Danio rerio: one gene and its partners. The protein of the gene in region 6 binds, or shares a complex with, the protein of the main gene of each other region. Links are inferred from orthologs where the notes say so. Each region holds a gene or a part of one and is shown on either strand. Other genes may lie near its edges. The genes, in order: ndufaf1, cmc1, timm21, ecsit, smim20 and coa1.

Region 1 (4,171 bases), on a different chromosome or scaffold from region 6:
CTGTTTTTCCAAAATTTTTCCAGGCCTGGAAAATGTCATGTCAAAATTCCATGACTTTTCCAGGTTTTGCATGACCGTATGAATCCTGAACTCGTCTGTCACACTGCAATATTCTTCTGTTATTTTGCTTGTTTTGGCAAAATATGTCTGTAAGCACATGTGATTGCATGTGTTACCATCCCGTGAGTTAACAAACACGTTAAATGTTTACACAGCCAAACTTTAATCAAATTGAATACTTGTAGAGATATCATTATTAATTTGCCTTATACAATACATTGTTATGACTTTCTTCGGTAAGATTTTATTTGATGGTCCCTATTTCACATTTTGTTGGCTAAAAGTTGCATTGCAACTACATGCCAATTAATTCTCATTAGAGTATTAGTAGTCTGTCTGCTTAATATCTGTTGATATTGCTCTTTCAACATTGAACTGACTATAAGAAACTTTGCAAGTACATGTTACCTTACACTAACCCTTACCCCAATCTTACAGTCTACTTATAATCTAATGAGAATTAGTTGGCATGTGGATGCAATGTAACTTAAATTCAACCAATGAGTTAAATGGACCATGAAGTACTAAATAAAGTGATACCCATTCTTCTAATAACTACCCTAACTAATTATTTATCTTATTAATTGTCTAAAAGAGCTTTTTAATGGTCATTAGCAGTTTTATCATATATCACGGTGGGTTTGTTATTTATGGACAAAACAGTCAACTTTATTACATGAATATTTCTCCATGCTCTTATATCAATGAATCATGTGACTTTCTACCCAATCAGAGAGCATGTTTCTGGGAAGTGTTTGATGAGCGTCTGTCCGCTCTAGTGTTTCGTCTTATTTCTGCAACCGAAATAGAAGTTTAGCCGCGGCGCTGTGACGTCATAAAACAGTAAAGGTTCTAAACGCACGCGACTGCTTTCTTTACTAAAGCCGAAATGCGCGCGCACTGCAGGCCACAATAAAAAGCACTCCAAGCATCCCGAATTCAGGTGTAACTGCCTCAATAGCAGCACGACGCCACCATACAGGCCCCTGCTAACCAGCTAGCTTTCCCACATCACTTAGCATGGGACTCCAACACACACATACAGTCCTGACACATTTGTGCCCTAGAAATCGGCAAACAGCGATGTTTTTGGATCACATTCGCGTCAATGAGGTTCCTACCTGATCCAAATTATCATCGCTCGCACTATCCTCCGAGTCGGAGTCAATCACGACCCGACCTTTCCGTTTCTTTACATTCACCATGGTTAGCTGCCTGGCTCCCCTGTGTGTGTGTTTAAACAGCAGCGCCGCACTCCTCCACACAAAGGCGCTAGAGCTACACCGCGCATGCGCACACGCCACCACAAATACATCGACAAGTTTACAGTACCACTTACGTGCTGTTTCTGATAATGTCAAATATAATGTAAAGTACATTAACCACAATTATGATAACATTTGTTAACCACTAAATGTGGGGTTGGTAGGGGGTGAACTGCGAGGAATGTTCGTTGTCGGTAGGACCATAAGCGGATGTCCTTGTTTCAAGTAAGGGCAAATTAAATGACGGGCCGCGAAGGCGCATTTGACTTTTGTGTAAGTATTGCTTAAATATTTTTAATTTATTTATTGATATGTTGTTGATAAATGTGGTCACCGTCAGTGTTTGTACGTTAGCTTTGCTGTAACAATTAAACTTAATCTTCAAATCATGAAGTGTGGGGATTTTAACACGTGTTATTGTACCGCTGACCCTCTCTAGATTAATTTATAACCTTGTTGCTATGGAAGCCAAATATGATAATCCACATGCAAGAGGAATTCCCTGAAAATTACATCTTCATGTATAAAAACTGGCAGATTTATACAAACTTAAATTGCCTTAATAGGTATATACTGTTGTGTAATTGTATTTGTAAATAATTTCCATTTGGTGAGCTTCTACGATAGCAGTTATTTAAATGTACATTTTATTATATTCTCATCTGAATCCATGATTATTCACTTAATCTAAATCATAATAGTAATTACGCATTTATATATTATGTCCACTGTTTTTCTCTAAACCTTTCCATAGACCCTCTTGCACCTCCTTGAAAAAACTCGAATTCAAGAGATCAGCACCATTTTCAGGTACATTAATTTAATAATCACAATGCAAAAAAAAAAATGTTTTTTCTTACTTTGCTTTATCTCTTTTCTAGTCCAAATATCTAAAAAAAATCTTAATCAGGGAAAACTATTGCTGTGTTTTAAAATTCAGATGAAATGAGGCGAAGTTGAGAGTTTTCTCCTTAAAACAAGCAAAAACTTATGCTAGTGGGGTAAGTTAAATAATCCTGTTTTCACTTTGAAATGTAGATGTTTAGACTAGAATGACAAAAAACTTAAACGAATGTACATTAATTTTGTATTAAAACATTAATGAATACAATTCTAACGCTTTTGGTCAACTATAATCCAGACTTAACATTGCATGTCTTTGCAATGACTATTGCAGATGTGCACATTGCGATATCGATGCTGAAACTATATATTGTGCAGCCCTAGTTCCTGTTCAGTGATAATTGACTCAATAATTTTTTCTACAGTTTAAAACCTTCAAAGGGGTAGGTCACCTCAAAATTAAAATATTGTTCTCATTTACTTACCCTTTACTTGTTTCAACCTTTAATTAGTTTCATTCTTCTGTTACACACACAAAGTATATTCTGAAGAATTCTTAAACCTGCAATCATTGTTACATGGAATTTGGTAAGTGGTTACAGATTTTTACCATTCTTCAAAGTATCTTTTCTTGTGTAGAAGAAAGAAACCCATAAAGTAACCATTGAGTAAAAGGGTCGTAAATTTAAAATTTGTGTGAACTATTCCTTTAAATCAGAACAGGAAGTATTACATTTATAAAATAAAGTATGGGTGACTCGGTGGCTTGTCGCCTCACAGCAAGGTCACTGGTTCAAGTCCTGACTGGGTCAGTTGGCATTTCTGTGTGGAGTTTGCATGTGCTCCACGTGTTGGTGTGGGTTTCCTTTGGGTACTCTGGTTTCCCCCATAGTCCAAAGACATGTGCTATAGGTGAATTGAATAAGGTAAATTGTCTGTTGTGTGTGCGTCTGAGTGAGTGTGTATGGATGTTTTTCAGTACTGGGTTGCGCTGTGTAAAACATATGCTGTATAAGTTGGCGGTTCATTCCACTGTGACAACCCCTGACAAATAAAGAAACTAAGCTGGAATGAAAATAAATAAATGAAAATAATGGCTCTAAATGATGCATATACGATTTTACTGTTTGTTATAAATGTTTTTAATTTTTTCAGCAGTCTTCTGGATGTCTAATCTGATCCCAAGAGCTACCCAGACTAAATGGCTGTATCGAGAACAACACTCAAGTCCCTGTATGGAGTTTGTGGAGTGGTTTACAGACAGCCTCTGTTGTTCCCTTCCTCACTCAAATGTGCATCTATACAGATCACCAGGAGCAAGTTTGAGCGAGATTACCAGAGACCCGGTCAGCCTCCAGACACACGCTGGCCTTGGCAGATGATAAACTTTGATTTCTCCAAAGGTGTGGAGAGTGTCAGGAAGCACTTTGGCTTGTTAAAGGATGAGTTTTTCCAGCGCTGGATTGGACCGGAAGGAAAGCCAATAATAGAGCACATGCTGGAACAGACCCGTGTCGTGTGGGAGTTTCGGGGTCCTGAGAGTCTAAATGAGTGGATTGTGTCATCTGATCAGGAGATTGGGGGCCGCAGTGTGGCTTATGTCAGTCTGGGCAAAAACAACACCACGTGTTTGCTGTATGGGACCTTGAGCTCCACCCCTCCACGTGATGGAGAGACTCGATACAGTGGATACTGCTCTATGCGCTCCAAACCCCCAAAGGTCAGTGCTGAGATCCCACATCTGTGTCTCTTTATTATTTTTACCAACATTTAATGCATTTACTTAAGATTTTTTACATTCTGCAAACGTTATTCAATCAATGCATTTGTACAGCAGGTATTTAAAGAAATGGGACATAATACATTGCCAGATTCTTTTAAAAGTGCAGTAGGTGATCTTTCACAATGCTAACAGCTTAGCATAAATCTCTGAATCACAGTCCCTCCCCTGCCGTCCAGAGCCACGCCTCCTGAAACAGGAGCACGTGCACCTTAAAGATGAC
Region 2 (3,500 bases), on a different chromosome or scaffold from region 6:
CCTACTCTGTATCAGCAGTGCCATGGGGTTATTACTGAGCACAGAGAGTCAGGAGCTCGGTTTAACAGCAGTATAGAGTCCCCTTCACTACACTGGGGCATTAGGACTCACACAGAACACGGGTTGAGCGCCCCCTGCTGGCCTCACTAACAATACTGCGAACAGCAGCCTGGTGTTCCCATGTGCTCTCCCATCCAGACACTGACCAGACTCAGCCCTGCTCCGCTTCAGTGAGGGAGCGCTCTGGTATATCAGGTGATGACGGTCAGTTTCTGCAGGAGCTTTGAGGAGTGTAATTAATGCTTAATGAACACACACACACACACACACACACACACACACACTGAATGAGTTCCTGTGTTCAAAAGAGAAACAGCATTAATTAATTGTGTGTGTGTGTGTGTGTGTGTGTGTGTGTGTGTCCAGCGTTCAACGTCTGCTGTAAGGACTCGGGTTTCTTCATGGTCTTCAAGTGTCGTGAGGAGAACGCGGCGCTGAAAGAGTGTTTGACGCAGCAGTGAGTTTCTCTCTTCTACATTCACACACTCATTATCATTTTCCCTCAGATGTGTGTGTGTGTGTGTGTGTGTGTGTTTATTCTCAGCATGTGGTTTTGACTGAATTTAATCATTTCATTCTTTGTCAATATATTTTTTAAATTGTACAAATTTGTGCTTTAATTTTGAACATTTTCTCCAGCAATATTGACTTTGTTTAGTTTAAAGGGTCGTGAACAGACGTGTTGAGCTGTTGACAGTCGTATATGTGTCCCACACAGCTATAAACACTATTAGGACACGCGTATCACACTAAATGTGAAAATTGGTTGTTTTTGCGCTGTTTTGAGCTGATTCGTTCTTTCAGTTTGAAACAAAATGTGAATTTTATTTTTCCTAAATTTAACACGTTTTTTTTCTGAGCATCACATCCCCAACATTTAATTTCAATATTTCAAACAAAATCTAACAAGGTTTTCCCTAAACACATTTTTTTATTTCTGAGCAAGGGAATGTTAAAATCAAATGTAGAGAATAAACTCCGCAAGTTTTACTCTAAACACGTTTCTACTTTTATATATATATATTCTCACAATTAATTGAGTTTTTCCTCAACATTTTATTTTTCAAAATGCAACAGGATTCTTTTTTGTGTTTGAGTTGGATTTTATTCTCAACATTTTACTTTGATATTTGGATTTATTTCTAGACAAATCAACAGCTTTATTCTCAAAATACAACACTTTGTTTTCTTGAAGAACATTTAATTTACAGAACAAACTGCTGAAATATATATATATTTTGAAGATAAAAATTCTGAGAAAAAAGTTTGACTCCAGACACTTTTTTTTGTTTTTCCTCTGAATTGGTTTATTCTCAACATTTGATTTTGGCATTTTTAAAAGGATTTATTTCTCAAAACAAAACAACTTTATTTTCAAAATTCAACAGTTTCTTGAAGAACACCTTCAATTTAGAGAGAAAAAAGTGTTGAGAATAAATGTAGAAAACAAGTTTTACTCTCTGAATTTGAGTTTTTCCTCAACTGTTTATTTTTCAAAAGGCAACAGGATTCATTTTTCTTAGAGTTTGATTTTATTCCCAACAGTTGATTTTTACATTTTTCTTTAAGGATTTATATCTCAAAACAAAAACAGCTTTACCCTCAAAATCCAACACTTTGTTTTCTTAAAGAACACCTTCAATTTAAAGAACACTAATATTAATCTTTTTTGCTCAGATTGTAATGATTTTATTTGAGCGTTTGATTATTATTTTTATTTTTTCTGAGTTTGACTTTCTTCATTTGATTTTGACATTTTTCTTAAATGATTTATTTCTTAAAAAACACACAACAACCTTAATCTCTAAATGACACGTTATTGAAGAACACTTTAAATTTGGAGGAAAAGTTTGAAATCAAATATTGAGAATAAACTCATCAAACTTAGAGGAAACTAGATTTACTCTAAACACTTCAGAAAATAACGTTTTCTTTCTCAGAATGTGAAGATTTTATTCTCAACATTTATTTAGATTTTTTTTTCTCAAAATCCAGCAGTTTTTTTCTGAATTTTACATTATTTCCTACATTTTATTCTTAAATGATTTATTTCTCAAAACAGTTTTGTTTCTTGAAGATCTCGTTAAATTTAGAGTAGAGAAGGAAATAAAATATTGAGAATAAACTCATGTTCAGATGATAAAAGTTTTACACTAAACAGGTTTTTTAATCAATTTGTTTTTGTCTCAGAATGTAAGAAGTTTATTCTCAGCATCTTAAAGTGTAACACACTTTCTCAAAACACAACAGGATTTTTTTTCTCCAAAAATGAATTTTTTTCCTCTAAATTTGACTTTATTAACAATATTTTGACATTTTTTCTTCTTCTTTTTTATTGTTTTGTGTGTTCGGCTGCAGTTATCGGGATCCGGTGTTCTTCGAGGAGTGTAAACAGGAATATCTGAAGGAGAAGCTGCAGTATGAACAGACCGGCGTCCCGACCAAAAGCAGAAAACAGAAGCTTCCCACCAGCATGTAGACACACACACTCACGCACGCACGCACACACACACTCCCTTTATATTCATGATTAATCATCCCTCGCTGATCATCACTCAATGCATTCAATGCACATGTGTGTGTTTGTGTGTGTGTGTGTCTCCAGGGAATCAAACACACAGCGGGTCTGAAACACACACACACACACACACACACACACACACACAGATCTGCTGTTTTCTGCAGGTTTACATGTGTTAAACGTGCAGATTTACTCCATTCAGATGTTGAGCGCTGATCGCTCTGATTATAATAAAACATGTTTAATGTTGATCTGTTGTTTATTTATATGTGTACAGTTGAAGACAGCTATTATTGTTGTCTTGCACATTTCTAATCATAATAGTTTTACTAACTCATCTCTAATAACTGATTTATTTACTCTGTCATGATGACAGCACAACTAGATATTCTTCAAGACACTAGTGTTCGGCTGAGTGACATTTAAAGGTTCACCAGGGTAATCAGGGTAAAGTTATTGTTTAATGATTTGGAAAATACTTGGGGAAAAAAATCAGCATTTCATTAATAAATTTTGCCTTCAACTGTACAGAGTTTATTCTGCCAAAAAATGACCAAAACAAAAGAATATTAATTATTTCATTAAAATAAAACCTAAATCTGAAAACTCCAATTAAAAGATTAAAATATGAGATAAAACTGTTAATGAAGTCCGTCTGTGCCTTTAATGTATAGATGTGACATGAAGCTGGATTTTCATCATCAGAATATTTGTGATTATTAATGTTTCATGATGAAGAATAAACTGCTGCATTCATTCGAATCAAATTTATTTACTGTCATTTCTGAGTCATTAAATTTTTGCTTCATGAATAAATACATTGATTTCTTGTTGATGTATCATTGATTGGTATATATATATATATATATATATATATATATATATATATATATATATATGCAAATTTTATATAAATATA
Region 3 (2,482 bases), on a different chromosome or scaffold from region 6:
TTTTTTCTGCAACCCTCCCGAGTCTGGAGACAATCCTGTCTCTGAGGTCTACAAACAATTCCTTTGTCTTCATGCTTGGTTTGTGTTTTGACATGCACTGTCAACCCTGAGACCTTATATAGACAGGTGTATGCCTTTTCAAATTCAAATCATGCCCAATCAACTGAATTTACCACAGGTGAACTCCAATTAAGCTGCTGAAACACCTCATGAATGATCAGTGGAAACAGAATATACCTGAGCTCAATTTAGAGCTTTATGGCAAAGGCTGTCAATACTTATTTTCATGTGATTTTTCAGGTATTTTATTTTTAATACATTTTAAACAATTTCAAAAACTCTTTTTTTCACAGTGTCATTATGGGGTATTGTGTGTAGAATTGAGGAAATAAATAAATTTTATTCACTTCGGAATAAGGCTGTAAAAAAATGTGTGAAAAAGGAAAGCGCTATGAATACTTTCTGGATGCACTGTAATTTATAGGTTTACTTAATATAGACTGTGGAGAGGTAAGCATGATCGAACACCCAATAAAGGGGGAGAGCATGCTCAGAGCCCGGCGGCTAATCAGCAGGCCAATCAGAAATAATAAGCAACACCTGTTTATTCTAGTTTTTGGCCTGCTGATTAGCCGCCAGGCTCTGAGCATGCTCTCCCCCTTTATTGGGTGTTCTATCATGCTTACCTCTCAACATAGACATATTATAATGTTTAAATGAGGTAAAAGATGTACTGTATGCACACTACAGTAGAAAAACTATGAACATATGTTACAGATGAATATGATTAGCTCAATATGATTAGATCACAAGTTGTAGTCAACAGGCTGATTTATTCATGCATTTCAGACATTAGGTTTACACATATGTGATATATATAGCTAATGAATCACTGACCTCTGGATGAGATCTGCACCTCTCGAAAGCTTTTCCATAGATTTTGCTTGGGCTTGAAGAGGAAAAGAGTTCTTGAAAGACCACATACAGCAGGCCACCTAAAGCGATTAGAAAACATTAATCGGTTCACTTATTATACTGCTGAATAATATGTATATACAAATTAAAAAAAATATGCATAGAAATGATTATAACCTGCCTGCCTGCCTGAATTGCTAAAAGGTTCCACAGTTTTGCAAAGTGATGGCTTTATCATGTTATGACTATGGCTAGCTGTATTGACACAATATATATATATATATATATATATATATATATATATATATATATATATATATATATATATATATATATATATATATATATAGTAAAAAGTGCTATATAAATACATATGAATTTAACTGATTTGTATGATTATAATGTCTGTCTCATGTATTGTATTTGAGTCAGTGTTATCGTTAACAAAAAAAAAGACTTTGGAGCTGAAATGAAATATAAATACTTGTTTATTTATATGTTATATGGCGCAGTAGGAAGTGTTGTAGCCTCACAGCTAGAAGGTCGCTGGTTCGAACCTCGGCTCAGTTGGCGTTTCTTTGTGGAGTTTGCATGTTCTCCCTGCCTTTGTGTAGGTTTCCTCCGGGTGCTCTGGTTTCCCCCACAGTCCAAAGACATGCGGTACAGGTGAATTGGGTAGGCTAAATTGTCCGTAGTGTATGAGTGTGTGTGGATGTTTCCCAGAGATGGGTTGCGGCTGGAAGGGCATCCGCTGTGTAAAAACTTGCTGGATAAGTTGGCGGTTCATTCCGCTGTGGCGACCACAGATTAATAAAGGGACTAAGCCGACAAGAAAATTAATGAATGAGTTCAAAGTTGTTAAGATCACTATGTGCGTGGAAAAATATCATACACAAAATTACTAAAATCATTAAAAAAAAAAAAACTACTGAACAATAATAAACTATAATGAAGTAGTTGTTAATTTTAGTAATTTTGTTGCATTTTTATTAAATAGTATTTGGTTATTACATAATATATGTAAACAGATAATTTTGTCTTTAAGCAATACATTGCAAATTTCTTAACATGTTTAAACCATTGCAAGCATTACTAGAACGAATGACCATTTACTACATAGCCACATGTATGTTTTAGCATATTCATAACATATACTGTTATTAGCATGTTTTAATGCAAATGAGTTAGCATTTTGTCAGCATAACAAAAATGGTTAGCATTCCTAGAATGTCTAAACTCATGACCTGCATGTTGCTAAAATTAATTACTATGTTAGCAATAATGAACATTTTGCTGATACAAAATCCAAAGTGAATAAAATATAACTAATATCACTATTTAGACATCATCCTGTTATCATCATTAGGAAATGCATGTTGGTGCTTTCTGTTGGTTTTCTGGCACAGTAAGAACAGAGAATGGGGCCCTGAAACATAAGAGTCGTCAATCCAGACCTGGTTACCTGTTACACCGAGTCCAATGAGCACTACGATCAAATAGGTGAAATCTTTGCCAGCTTGTTTAACTGTTGAGGAAAGGAGACATTTATTTACTGAACAGCTACAAT
Region 4 (3,500 bases), on a different chromosome or scaffold from region 6:
GTATGTTTATTTAAGCTCAGCAGTGCTGCATTTATTTAATAGTACAGTGTAGTTATATACAGGGTTCCCGCTTTTTCCATGAACACCACATTCAAGATTTTTTTTTTGCCTGAGCACCATTCATTTTAAATCAAGCACCTTTGTAATTCTTACCACAGCGTATGTAGCACCATGAAAGTCCTTATTGTACTTATCATTTCACTTACACTAAATATTTACATTACAAATATACAAATCACAGAGTAACTTTCTCACATTTTGACTGTTTTAAATGGTCGTTTTTAAAGATTTTAATAACATGTTTAAATGCAGTTTCTAAAATATTGATAAAATGTGCATTATTTGTCGTTATTATTGTATAAGAGTTACATTTAATTAAATATTTTTTTTTTTTTTTTGACATCAGCACATTACACTTGTTGAAATAACACCATAAACAAATTTAATTTCAAATCCAATTCAAGCAATTTCCAGCATCTATGTTGTTTTTATTATTATTTTTATTTATATATTTTTTTATTATTAATTGTTAACAAAACATACAGGCTGAAAAACCTATATAATGAAACATATCAATTAAAAAAAAAACACCCCCCTCCCCTGCGGTCTCTTGAAACTGGGCTTTACAATGAATAGAAGTTAACATAAAAACAAAAACAGAATACAGTATCAAATATCAATTATACAAAGCAAGGCAATCATTCTGGATCCTGATCATTTCTTTGTGCAATAAACAAGGAGATTTTGTCAGCAGCCAAAGTCCAGATCTGTAATGTACCCATTTGTACCAAGTTCACTCGCGCCGTGGATAACTCCAACATTATAATGTCTTGAAGTAGCATCTATGTTGTTTTTAAGTACTTTCTAGGCCTTAAATCGATATGTCTGAAAGGAAAGTACTTTCATGAAGTGTGGAAACCCTGGAAATATTATTTCAATTTTAAATAAATTTTCTATTTTATTCTGATTTAAAGAATTATATTTAAATATATTTTAAAATGTAATTTTAAGTCTTAAATTTCAAAAGCACATTTTTTGCATTAAAAAATTGTAAATTCACTGAAATATTGTGTTGTAGGTCTTAAATCATTTTAAACAGGTCTTAATGTACCTGTTCTAACTTACCGGTTGGGCCAGATGGAACCTGCGGACATTTTTTGCTATTTCTGCCCAAAATTTTTGTACAAATCTGCGGATTTATGCGGAATGATTTTGGGAGTATCATCACTAAAAGCTTAAAATATGCAATAAAAAGTGATACCTTTTAAACTTGAATTTAATGTTTACAATGCAAATCCATCTTGATCTACTTATTTAGTAAACAAAGCAAGACTCTCATATATCGACTAAAAGACTGAAAATATTCATTTGCAAAGTGTATTGTAAATAAATCGTATAAATATTTTCATATTAGTCAACAAAATTAATTTTAAAACTGAATAAATCTAAATTTACAAACATTTACACAAGTAAATAAACAGAATGAATGATGGGCTAAAAATCTGCAGAATTCCGTGCGCGCAGATTCCGTGTGGGGTTACATATCGGGCCGACACATGACAACTTTTTTTTTTATATTTAAGTTTTTTTATTGCAAAGAAAAGCAATTCAAAACAGCTGTTAAGACATGTTTTACAGAAAATTCTCCAAAATAAATTTGCTAATCTAATTTAGAAAACTAAAGCAACACATCCATTACATGATCTTCCATTAACACAAAAATTATCCGCTTGTTAAGTGTGACGTCACGTGAAGCGGCTTCCGGGTCCAAGCGCTCTATTCAACTGAATGGGGAGACTCATGAAATGGTAATAATAAACATTTACAAAGCGATTTAATGCTTTCGAAAATCACGATCGCAATATATGTCCATGTCTAAAATCCGATGGCCAGAAAGTGATTCATTGTTTATAAATTGTTAACATTTTGGTATTTGTTAAGGAGCAAGCCCAGAGATTGTTGTGTACACTGATTTTATATAAACTTAACTTTAATGTGTGATGGCAATAAAACTAATGATTTCTCCACTCAAATGAATGGCGGCTTGGACCCTGAAACAGTATACATACGTCACAAACACGTCACCACTTAACAAGCGGATTTACAGACGTAACCAGGCCAATAGAAAAAATCCTAAGTGTTTAGCCCTGTATACGTCTAAAATTTCTTTCATAATAGTCTTTAAAATCGTAAAGAAACCTGCAGAAACCCAGATGCAATGCTGAATATTCAGCAGCCATTATTCCAGATCCTTCAGAAATCATTGTTATACCCAGATTTAGTTCTTAAGAAACAATTCTTATTATCCAATTGAAAACAGTGTTTATTTCTATTTAAGTAACATTATAAATCACTGTAGTGTATTTTGTATTTAAAGTGCCTCCTGCTAAAAAGTATCTCATCGGTCTCATTCTTTTATTGGTAGTGTGTATTTCACAATGTTAGGAAATAATAAAGGCTTTCAGTCTGATAAATGTGATTTATTATCTTTTACTCTTTGCAGTATCCGTCAACAGACATCACAGAGACAGGAGAAGAGATCACACGTCCTCATATTGTTGGTATGTACTGTAGGTCTAACCATTAAATGTTTTCCATGTCTTTTAACTACCACTGAAAATATGAAAGATCTCATTTGTTTATCAACAAAATGCTTTGGGTCTTTTTAATACAAGTTATAATTATTTAAATCCAACAAAACAAAAGCTCAAATGAACATAATTTGCTTGCCCTAAAGTTATTATGAATACTTTTTTGTTTTTCTGTTAAAAACCTCAAAAATATACTTTGAAGAATGTTTGTAACTAGATGCCACTAATTTTTAATTTCTGGATATTGTTTGGAGAAATAAGCACGAAAAAGAGCCTATCGCATCTTTCATGTTATCAGGTATCCAGAGTCCAGACCAGCGCTCTCTTCTGGCCAAACACAATCCCTGCAAGCCTGTGTTTGTGGAAGGCCCATATCCACTGTGGCTCAGGCAAAAGTGTGTTCATTACTACCTGCTCAGAGCAGACCCTATACCTCCTGAGGAAAAGGTACTGGCATCGGGCTACTGATGGCATTTAATACATTTGCTTAATATATTATTATTTACATATATTTGATGTTCTTTTGAAACAAGCCCTTTATGGTCCCTAATGCTGCATTTGTTTGATTACAAATAAGTAAAAGTACTATTTCTTTTTATTATTATTATTATCAAAACTAAAGAGTTTTTACTGCCTTATATAATTATGGAAACTTAGTTTAACAATTTGGATAAAAAAATAATAATAAAAAAAAAATATATATATATATATACATTCAGCCAAGATAGATCTAATTAATTGAAAAACATCAATCGACAGTGTTTGCATTAATAATGTCTCAAAGGAAATCAATTTTCAAATAAATTGTGCATGATTGTTTTTAAATATTATATGCAGTAAAAACTATTTTCAACGCAACATGATTGTATTTAAATCCTTAATAATAATTTGGAATGACTAGTAATTAAT
Region 5 (3,992 bases), on a different chromosome or scaffold from region 6:
ACATTGTTCATTTGAACCAATATAATGCACTTTTGCCGAATAAAATCACCAAATATTTTCTTAATTTGGATTTTAATTTGCTACATACACCTTTTTAAACCATTGATTCTAAATTAATGTTGGTTTAAACGTTATCTTCATTTTAACGCAGTTATTTATGCCTTTGTGTTTCTAAATGTAACCTACATTCTCTAAGTAAACAGCAACGCTCAGCTCTAATGCACTGGCACAGTCTGGCAGTGATGGATACCAATAAATAAGTAATAAAGCTTCACATAAAAAGAACGGAACTCAATTTATGACGTTAGAGAATTATAAAAACATAGTTTTCACACAAAATGTGTTAACAGTGCTTGACTCTTCTGTGGAGCACAAAAGGCAGAATGACTCTCAGTGTTCATTCAGTTTCATTGTTTGTTAAAAGAAGTAAATGGTAACGATGTCAAAACAGTTCCACGGATAGAAGGGAACATACAGTTTGATAACAACAAGAAGAATGCGAGTAAATCATTTCATTTTAATTTTGGATATACCGTTACTATTGCTTTAACGCTCATTAGTGGAGTGTTTTAGATCCGTCACTGTCAGGAAATGATAGCCTTTTAGTTTCGTCTCAGATGAAAGTGAATGATAGTGTGCTTAATATACCAACGTACGGTACAGCTAAACAACTCTGTAAACTACGAACCAAACGGCTTAGTATACGACAAAAACAAATGTAAAGCCGGTGTGAGACACAACAGGAGGAAGCTGGAGCTGGAGTACCTTGGGTTTGGTACCCACACCCGCGCGGTCCGGTCTCTGGACACCGACACGAACGCTCCGTCCGGGAAGGCGACAGCGGCAAGACCCCGGACATCCATGTCGTGCGCCGGGAGAGAAGAGCGCAGTCTGTATGAGTTACTGCCGGACATTTTTACAGCTGAGAGACGGCGATCACTACACACACTGACACAGCAACACTACACACATACACAATGCATGACGGGACAACACCGGGCAAAATAAAAGCCGCACTATCAATTATAACACTGACATGATCATATGAAATACTTCTATTTTTATGAGTACAATATCATACTTCTGTAAATATTCATTAACATTATAATAACCCTAATTTTGCGCTTGAAGTATGCATAATATATTTTAGTTAAGAACAGACTTTAAACTTTTTATTTCTAACGTGAACTTCACCCCGGAACAACTTGAGTGTGTTTGCGTCCTCGAGTGAGGTGAAACTGTCAAAATCATGTCCAGTTCTAAGAGGATAACGCTCATATTTGGAGGCTTCGTTGCAGCTGTTGCTGCAGCTTTTTATCCTATATTTTTTCATCCTCTCACACACTCTGAAGACTACAGTAAGTGTTTAATATCACTACTACACATGAAGTCACCGTGACACAGCCTAAACTTAACTTATGTCATAACGTCACATTCGATTACCCTGCATTTTGTAACTTATTAATCGTATTGGAATAATATATTTGGTGACATAGATTGGGATTAACGTTAGGCATGGGAAAATAACTGTTAACGGTTTTCAAGGTATAGCGCGGTTTGCAAAAGTTAAGATTTTAAAATTGTCAACATTTTCTTATATAACTTACCGTTTCTAAGGTATGTGTACGATTTTTTATTTACATTTCTTTTTTATGACAACAGTATCTCCAGCAGAAACGATATCCAACGATGTCATTTTAAATGGTTAAAAAGTTAGTGTTTTTAAATCAATTGAAGACCACATAAGTCAATGATTCATTTGAATTATTTAGCCTCACATGTTAACTGTTCTAAACAATTTTAACTGTTTCTCCAAATAAAATATATTGTGTTTAAAGTGGGGGAAAATGTTTTATTTTTACCCAGATATTTAAAAAAAAATACATTTTAGATCAGTAATCACAATACCATATACAGTATTACCGTAGAACCGTGAAACTGTCATATTTTATTCAAGGTTATCATACTGTCAGAATCTTATCTTATAAATTTATTTTCATCTAATAAAGCTGTTAAAGTCTCAATCAAAATAATTCATAATTGCCATCCAATAAATACCAAAACTAGCTAAATATAATAACAATATTTTCCCTTTATGCATTTTGTACTCAATATAATGAAACACTAAATAATTTATTTTGGGAGTGCACTTCCTGTCAAGTGTTTTGGGTTGACTTTTTCGATTTCATTAAAAAAAATCTTATTTCCAAATTTCTGTATTTCCCCAAAATGTTTTTCTTTGGTTACTTTCTGAATGTAGATCCTTCTCTTTGTAAATTTATTATTAATTTATTGCTTTTTTTGGCTAAATTTTACATTCATAAATGTAAATAAAAAAAAAAACATCCTTACTTTTTATTTTCAGAAAGGACTATTATATTACATGTAAAACTCTTTTAAACTTGTTTATTTTGCTGGAATTTTAGTCATGTAACCCTTTTTGTTTCTTTGTTCATACTGTATCTTTGTATTGTTCTTTCTTGTATGATAAAAAAGAACTTTAAAAATACATTTAAAAAACGTATTATTGGGATAATCAGGTTGAACAGTCGTTATAATCTGATGTAAATTATAGAAATAATATTTCAGTGTTTTAAGGAATGTACACATATTATGATGCTGATTTTATTCTACGTTGAATTACATACAATGCAGAGCTCTCTTGAATGAGACATGTTGTATGTATATTAGGTTAGGTTACTTATACCCAAAGGTAGATTTGGTTTGCAGTCAAGAGTCCTCATTTCATAGCAGTGCCACACTAAAAAACTCACATAGTGACAACAACAAATAGACATAAAACATAAACGTACAAAACGTACACTCTTTAAAAAAAAAAAAAAAAAGAATAAATAAATAATTATTTCAAGAGCCAAAATCACTCTGGACCCCTCACACCCAGCACACTGCCTCTTTGAATTTTTACCTTCTGGTCGACGCTACCGAGCACTGTGCACCAGAACAGCCCAACACAATAACAGATTCTTCCCTCAGGCAATCCATCTCATAATTATGAAAAGAAAAAACATCACTACTTGCTATAGCTATACACTTTTAATCCACATATACACTTATTTAGCAACATACTTTACATGCCAATTTACACATAACAGCTGCACATATAACGTATATAATAATACACATGTACACACACTTGTCAATTTGTATATTTGCATTCACTTTCTACTTCTATTTTTAAAATACATTTTTTTATCTGTTTTTTTGTCCTGTCTTTGTAATTCTGTTGCACTGTAGAAAGCTCTGTCAGGAAAGCACGTGTGAACACACCTGGCAGTAAAGCTTTTTCTGATTCTGATATACAAGTATCGTTTACTTCTACAGCTTGTTACAAGAAACCAACGACTAGATGGAAGGAGCTGAAACTCTGAGTGTAGGGGATTTTTATTATGTGTTAAGTTAACTTAATTGATTTGTGTTGGGAATTGCGTGGATTCCAGCATTTTGCATTTTTTTACAGTGCAGTTTTTCAGTGTATCTGCGGAGTCTTAAAAAGTCTTAAATTTCTAAAACAAAATTGAAGGCCTTAAAAAGTCATATTCACTGGAATATTGTGTTGTAGGTCTTAAATCATTTTAAACTGATCTTAATTTTCCTCTGTCCAATTAAAGCTACACAATCGGGCAAACATCCATCCAATCACCAACAATCCATCTTAATAAAATCAAGGAAAGAGAACTAAAAACCATTACACAGTTCCTCATGATAATAACAGAGTAATATATCCCTTTCCTTTCCCAGGGATGGGTTGCAGCTGGAAGGTCATCCACTGCGTGAAACAGGTGCTGGATAAGTTGGTGGTTGATTTCGCTGTGGAGATCCCAGATAATAAAAAGACTGAGCCGAAAGAAAATGAATGAATATATCCCTTAACATTATCTTCCATTCATACAAAAACTCTTTACAGAAGTAAGGGGGAGTAGACATAATATTTATAAATAGGCATTAAACTTAAAGTTTTTATGAACAGAAAC
Region 6 (4,147 bases):
TGCCCTCTCCTGTGGTTTGTAATGTAATAGGCAGCACAAATTTATTGATAGCTCAGGCTGTTGATGTTGCCATCCACTCTGCAGATCTCTCGCATGCCCCCATACTGAATTTAACACCAAACCATGATTTTTCCTTCACCAAACTTGACTAATTTCTCTGAGAATCTGGTGTCTTCCAATAGGTCTCTCAGTATTTGTGATCACTGAGATGCAGATCAACAGATGATTCATCAGAAAAATCTACCTTCTGCCACTTTTTCAAAATGATCAACTAGAAATCAAGTTATTACTTGCTGCTCTTACAACTGAGATCAACAACAAGACTTTTGTCAGGTAATGTATATAAAACTATATGAAGAGACCACTTGGAAATTCTTAGTTTCTCTGGACGTTTTGGGTTTGTTTGTTATGTTTCAGTCAAATGTTAATATGTGTTTCATTTTTATAAAAGTCTGATAAGACTTTTTTCTGCTAATTTTATATGGGAGTATTTTAATGAAATATTGTCATTTAGAGCATTTCTTCTTAAGATAAAAATCAGGAATGTTCCACCAAATATTGATTTCTTGATTTTAAGTAAAAACATTGATGCTGTGTTGTCCAAAAAAATTCTGAAACATGGCATCCTTTTGTTATTTCAAGCAAAATAAATGCTCTAAATAGCAATGTTTTCATTTTAAATGGAATAAATGTCATCACTCGATTTAATCCTGTTTTACTGAAACACATAAGTAGAAATCATCAATACAGAGAATATCAGAATTTACAAGAGGTCACTTATTCTTTTCAGTTCTCTCTGTCTGTGTTTGTGTAGTATATTAATCCCTAAAGTGTAAAAATAATCTAAAAAGTGATTTTTCTTTTTTCAACAGCATATGCCTTTAAAATATTAGGAATGTATGCATTCACTTGTGTCTGAATAAAACTAAATAAAACTGAAGCATTTTTCTTAAATATATTTTAGTGTAAATATCCAGAAATGTCCTGAAATAATGTCCGAAAAGTTAAATTTAAGAGTTTTAAAGACATTTTGGTTAGTAAAAGGTCTTTAGCAAATATCTACAATGGGCTGAAACAGCACGTGCTTTTAACATTTTTATCAGTGTATGCAATTCACTTGTGTCTGAATAACACTAATAAACCTGAAGCAGTTTCTGAACCAGTTTTCAGTGTAAACATCCGAAAATGTCCAGAAATAATGTCCACAAGTTAAACTACGTTCCATTATTAATTAAATATTAGACTTATACAGGACTTTTTTTTTAAATATTCCAGTTAGAAAAGATTTTCACTTTGATTTTCACAAAAAATATAAAAATTTAAGACATTTAATAATACAATAATAAAATATTTTGTTAGAATTTCGCTTTATTAACTTCCAAATATATCTATTTACAAACCCTATAACCCTTATGAAGAATAGAAAAAAACATAGCTGTCAATTATTTCAGTCAACAATAATAATAATAATAATAAAATAAAATATATAGGTCAGGTCAGTATCCACAGCAGTAAATATCGTGTAAGCAAATGTTACTGTAAGGAAAGTAATTAAATGCTATTTTTAAATAAAAGCTTAAAAGTTTTATTGAGATGGATTGTCGTTGACTGTATTGGTGTTAATGGCCAGATTGGGTAGCTACACATGAACAAAGGAAAATTAAGACCTCTTAAAAAAACAACACAATATTTCAGTAGATTTAAGACTTTTTAAGACCCTACGGGTACCCTGATAAATATCCAGAAATAAAAAACTAATTAGATTCTTGCATAAATTCTTGCATTTGACTCCATTTTGCTGTTTAGTGTTACTGTTTTAAATAAACAACAACAGGCCGATGGTAAAGCCTGAACATCCTCGAAATTATTTTCTTCACCCGCTTAATAATATTTGTTTATTTCTTAGTTATTCAGATTTGTGGATGTGTGTATATACCATAATGACCTTGGAAAACTACAGTCATAGGACTCAGAAATGTGTTTAAAAGACGTAATAATAACGTCTCTGACACAAATTAGCGATGGCCATTATAGCTATAGGGCTCAGATTTGTTTAATAATAAATAACGTCAAAGACGATCATAGATACAAAAAAAGCTATTACTAAAGTGTTAATATTGTTAAATCGGCTATCATCTTAACTGTTCCTGACAAAAAATTTGCCTTCCTATAAGTAATTATAATACATAAAATATCTGGCTGTTATATTTAAACGATACAAATATTCCAAACATAACTTGGAAATGCATCCATAGCTTCACCATGGTAGTTCTGGTAAAGCTGGTTACACACACATATATATATATATATATATATATATATATATATATATATATATATATATATATATATATATATACACATACAGTATAACCAGCTTTACCAGAAATACTTATATATTTTAAACCATGCAAACATACGTTGAAAATGCATTTGGCATTTGATTCAATATCCATAGCTTCACCATGGTATTTCTGGTAAAGCTGGTTATATACTGTATATATTTAATGAATTCGCCACAAACCCATGGTTACTACCGTATTAATATTCATGTAATACTGTGGTATTTTTTTTTTGCTAGTGAAAGGTGTTTAGCAGATATACGATGGTCTTAAACATTATTTTTATTTTAAATGGATGCCCCTGAATTTCAACAGAATTGAGCCTTGAAATTCAACAGATTAATGCATGCTTTAATGGCTTTTGACTAAGATAAAATTACTCACCCGCACATGGATTATTATTGTTTTTATAAAGACGCTACGAGCGGCGCATTATGGACGCGGCCATTTTCCTCTTTGAAAAACTTTATTCAAACGTCAATGAATCAAATCTTTAGAAAAAAAGAGCACCACACGTGCGAAATCCCCAAGCGATTTATCATATTGTAAATGATACAGTACAATCTTCTGTAATGTTACCAACTATTAATTTAGCAAGATCGCATGTTTATTTGGGATCTGCATTTTTGACAACAGAAACACGTGCGACGCGTGACGTCAGACGCACGCGCGGTTACGAAAAAAGAGTTATGAAAGTAGTTTCCTGAGTCACAGTTGATGAATGTCATTATCGTTCTCATTTCGCTGACGTTGCGTAAGAAAACCACATCAAAGGCTGTGAGGGGACATTCACAGGTGAGCACAGTATTACATGTTTGCATGTTGAAGAGTGAGCGCGTTATTGGTTGTGTAATTTGCGCGTGCTTTAGTAAGCGCTGAGCGCGATGCAGATGCGCGTCTTCAATGTGTCGTCTTTGGTGATTTCACGAACACGGTCATTTATTTCCATGGACAACAGTCATACACGGGCAACACGGTGGCTCAGTGCTTTGCACTGTCGCCTCACACCAAGAAGGTAGCTGGTTCGACTGCATAATGGATAAACAAATATTTCTGTGTGGAGTTTGCATGTTCTCCCCGTGTTGGCGTGGGTTTCCCCCACAGTCCAAACACATGCGTGTAACTGTTATTGCTGAATTGAATAAGTTAAATTGGCCGTAGTGTATTTGTTTGAATGATTCTATGGGTGTTTCTCAGTACTGGGTTGCAGCTAGAAGACCATCTGCTGTGTAAAACATGCTGCATAAGTTAGCGGTTCATTCCGCTGTGGCGACTCCTGATGAATAAAGGGACTAAACCGAAGGAAAATGTATGAAACAGTCATGCATTGGCAGTATTGCAGTATTTAATAACTAAAATTTTAATAACCTGTTGTTCTATGTGCTGCTAGTTGCAAAACAAGCTAATATAGTTGAAAAGTATTTGTTTATCCATTATATATTTATTTATTTTGAGAAGTTTGTCACGTTTTTTGTTTTTAACGGAATGCCTTTAATAATAAATCAATCAATAAATAAATATACAATCAGAGGGCAAATTACTTAAAATTAAATAATGTGCTGCTATTTACAAAACATTACAAATATTTGTGTATTTATATTGTATTTACGTATTTGGAGTAGTTTGTGATGTTCTATTTTCAGCAGGATGCAGGTGTAAAAATCGATCTATTTAAACACACACACACACACACACACACACACACACACACACACACACACACACACACACAATAAATATATAAACAAATTGTTAAATGCATAATTAAATTATTATTATTTTTAAATGTATAAATAAATATTTAT

Evidence for each region.
Region 1: coa1 (region 6) and ndufaf1 share a complex: the UniProt entries of both Homo sapiens proteins name them as parts of the mitochondrial complex. The link is inferred for Danio rerio from reciprocal best matches to the Homo sapiens genes COA1 and NDUFAF1.
Region 2: coa1 (region 6) and cmc1 share a complex: the UniProt entries of both Homo sapiens proteins name them as parts of the MITRAC (mitochondrial translation regulation assembly intermediate of cytochrome c oxidase complex) complex. The link is inferred for Danio rerio from reciprocal best matches to the Homo sapiens genes COA1 and CMC1.
Region 3: coa1 (region 6) and timm21 share a complex: the UniProt entries of both Homo sapiens proteins name them as parts of the MITRAC (mitochondrial translation regulation assembly intermediate of cytochrome c oxidase complex) complex. The link is inferred for Danio rerio from reciprocal best matches to the Homo sapiens genes COA1 and TIMM21.
Region 4: coa1 (region 6) and ecsit share a complex: the UniProt entries of both Homo sapiens proteins name them as parts of the mitochondrial complex. The link is inferred for Danio rerio from reciprocal best matches to the Homo sapiens genes COA1 and ECSIT.
Region 5: coa1 (region 6) and smim20 share a complex: the UniProt entries of both Homo sapiens proteins name them as parts of the MITRAC (mitochondrial translation regulation assembly intermediate of cytochrome c oxidase complex) complex. The link is inferred for Danio rerio from reciprocal best matches to the Homo sapiens genes COA1 and SMIM20.

The regions. Positions count from the first base shown.
Region 1 is NC_133188.1:36,685,625-36,689,795, forward strand, and holds the start of ndufaf1 (complex I intermediate-associated protein 30, mitochondrial), read left to right. Parts: upstream 1-1,371; 5' UTR 1,372-1,598; intron 1,599-2,079; 5' UTR 2,080-2,135; intron 2,136-2,206; exon of another isoform or gene 2,207-2,265; 5' UTR 2,266-2,326; intron 2,327-3,323; exon of another isoform or gene 3,324-3,326; 5' UTR 3,327-3,369; coding exon 3,370-3,888; intron 3,889-4,171. Other genes in the region: RNA polymerase-associated protein RTF1 homolog, read right to left, coding at 1,182-1,265. UniProt on the Homo sapiens protein: As part of the MCIA complex, involved in the assembly of the mitochondrial complex I.
Region 2 is NC_133191.1:59,052,759-59,056,258, reverse strand, and holds the end of cmc1 (COX assembly mitochondrial protein homolog), read left to right. Parts: intron 1-426; coding exon 427-517; intron 518-2,418; coding exon 2,419-2,539; 3' UTR 2,540-3,348; downstream 3,349-3,500. UniProt on the Homo sapiens protein: Component of the MITRAC (mitochondrial translation regulation assembly intermediate of cytochrome c oxidase complex) complex, that regulates cytochrome c oxidase assembly.
Region 3 is NC_133199.1:17,615,565-17,618,046, reverse strand, and holds part of timm21 (mitochondrial import inner membrane translocase subunit Tim21), read right to left. Parts: intron 2,441-2,482; coding exon 2,378-2,440; intron 996-2,377; coding exon 898-995; intron 1-897. UniProt on the Homo sapiens protein: Participates in the translocation of transit peptide-containing proteins across the mitochondrial inner membrane.
Region 4 is NC_133182.1:17,780,470-17,783,969, reverse strand, and holds part of ecsit (evolutionarily conserved signaling intermediate in Toll pathway, mitochondrial), read left to right. Parts: intron 1-2,503; coding exon 2,504-2,561; intron 2,562-2,889; coding exon 2,890-3,038; intron 3,039-3,500.
Region 5 is NC_133182.1:65,051,106-65,055,097, forward strand, and holds the start of smim20 (small integral membrane protein 20), read left to right. Parts: upstream 1-1,192; 5' UTR 1,193-1,249; coding exon 1,250-1,358; intron 1,359-3,992.
Region 6 is NC_133177.1:53,227,630-53,231,776, reverse strand, and holds the start of coa1 (cytochrome c oxidase assembly factor 1 homolog), read right to left. Parts: upstream 2,801-4,147; 5' UTR 2,727-2,800; intron 1-2,726. UniProt on the Homo sapiens protein: Component of the MITRAC (mitochondrial translation regulation assembly intermediate of cytochrome c oxidase complex) complex, that regulates cytochrome c oxidase assembly.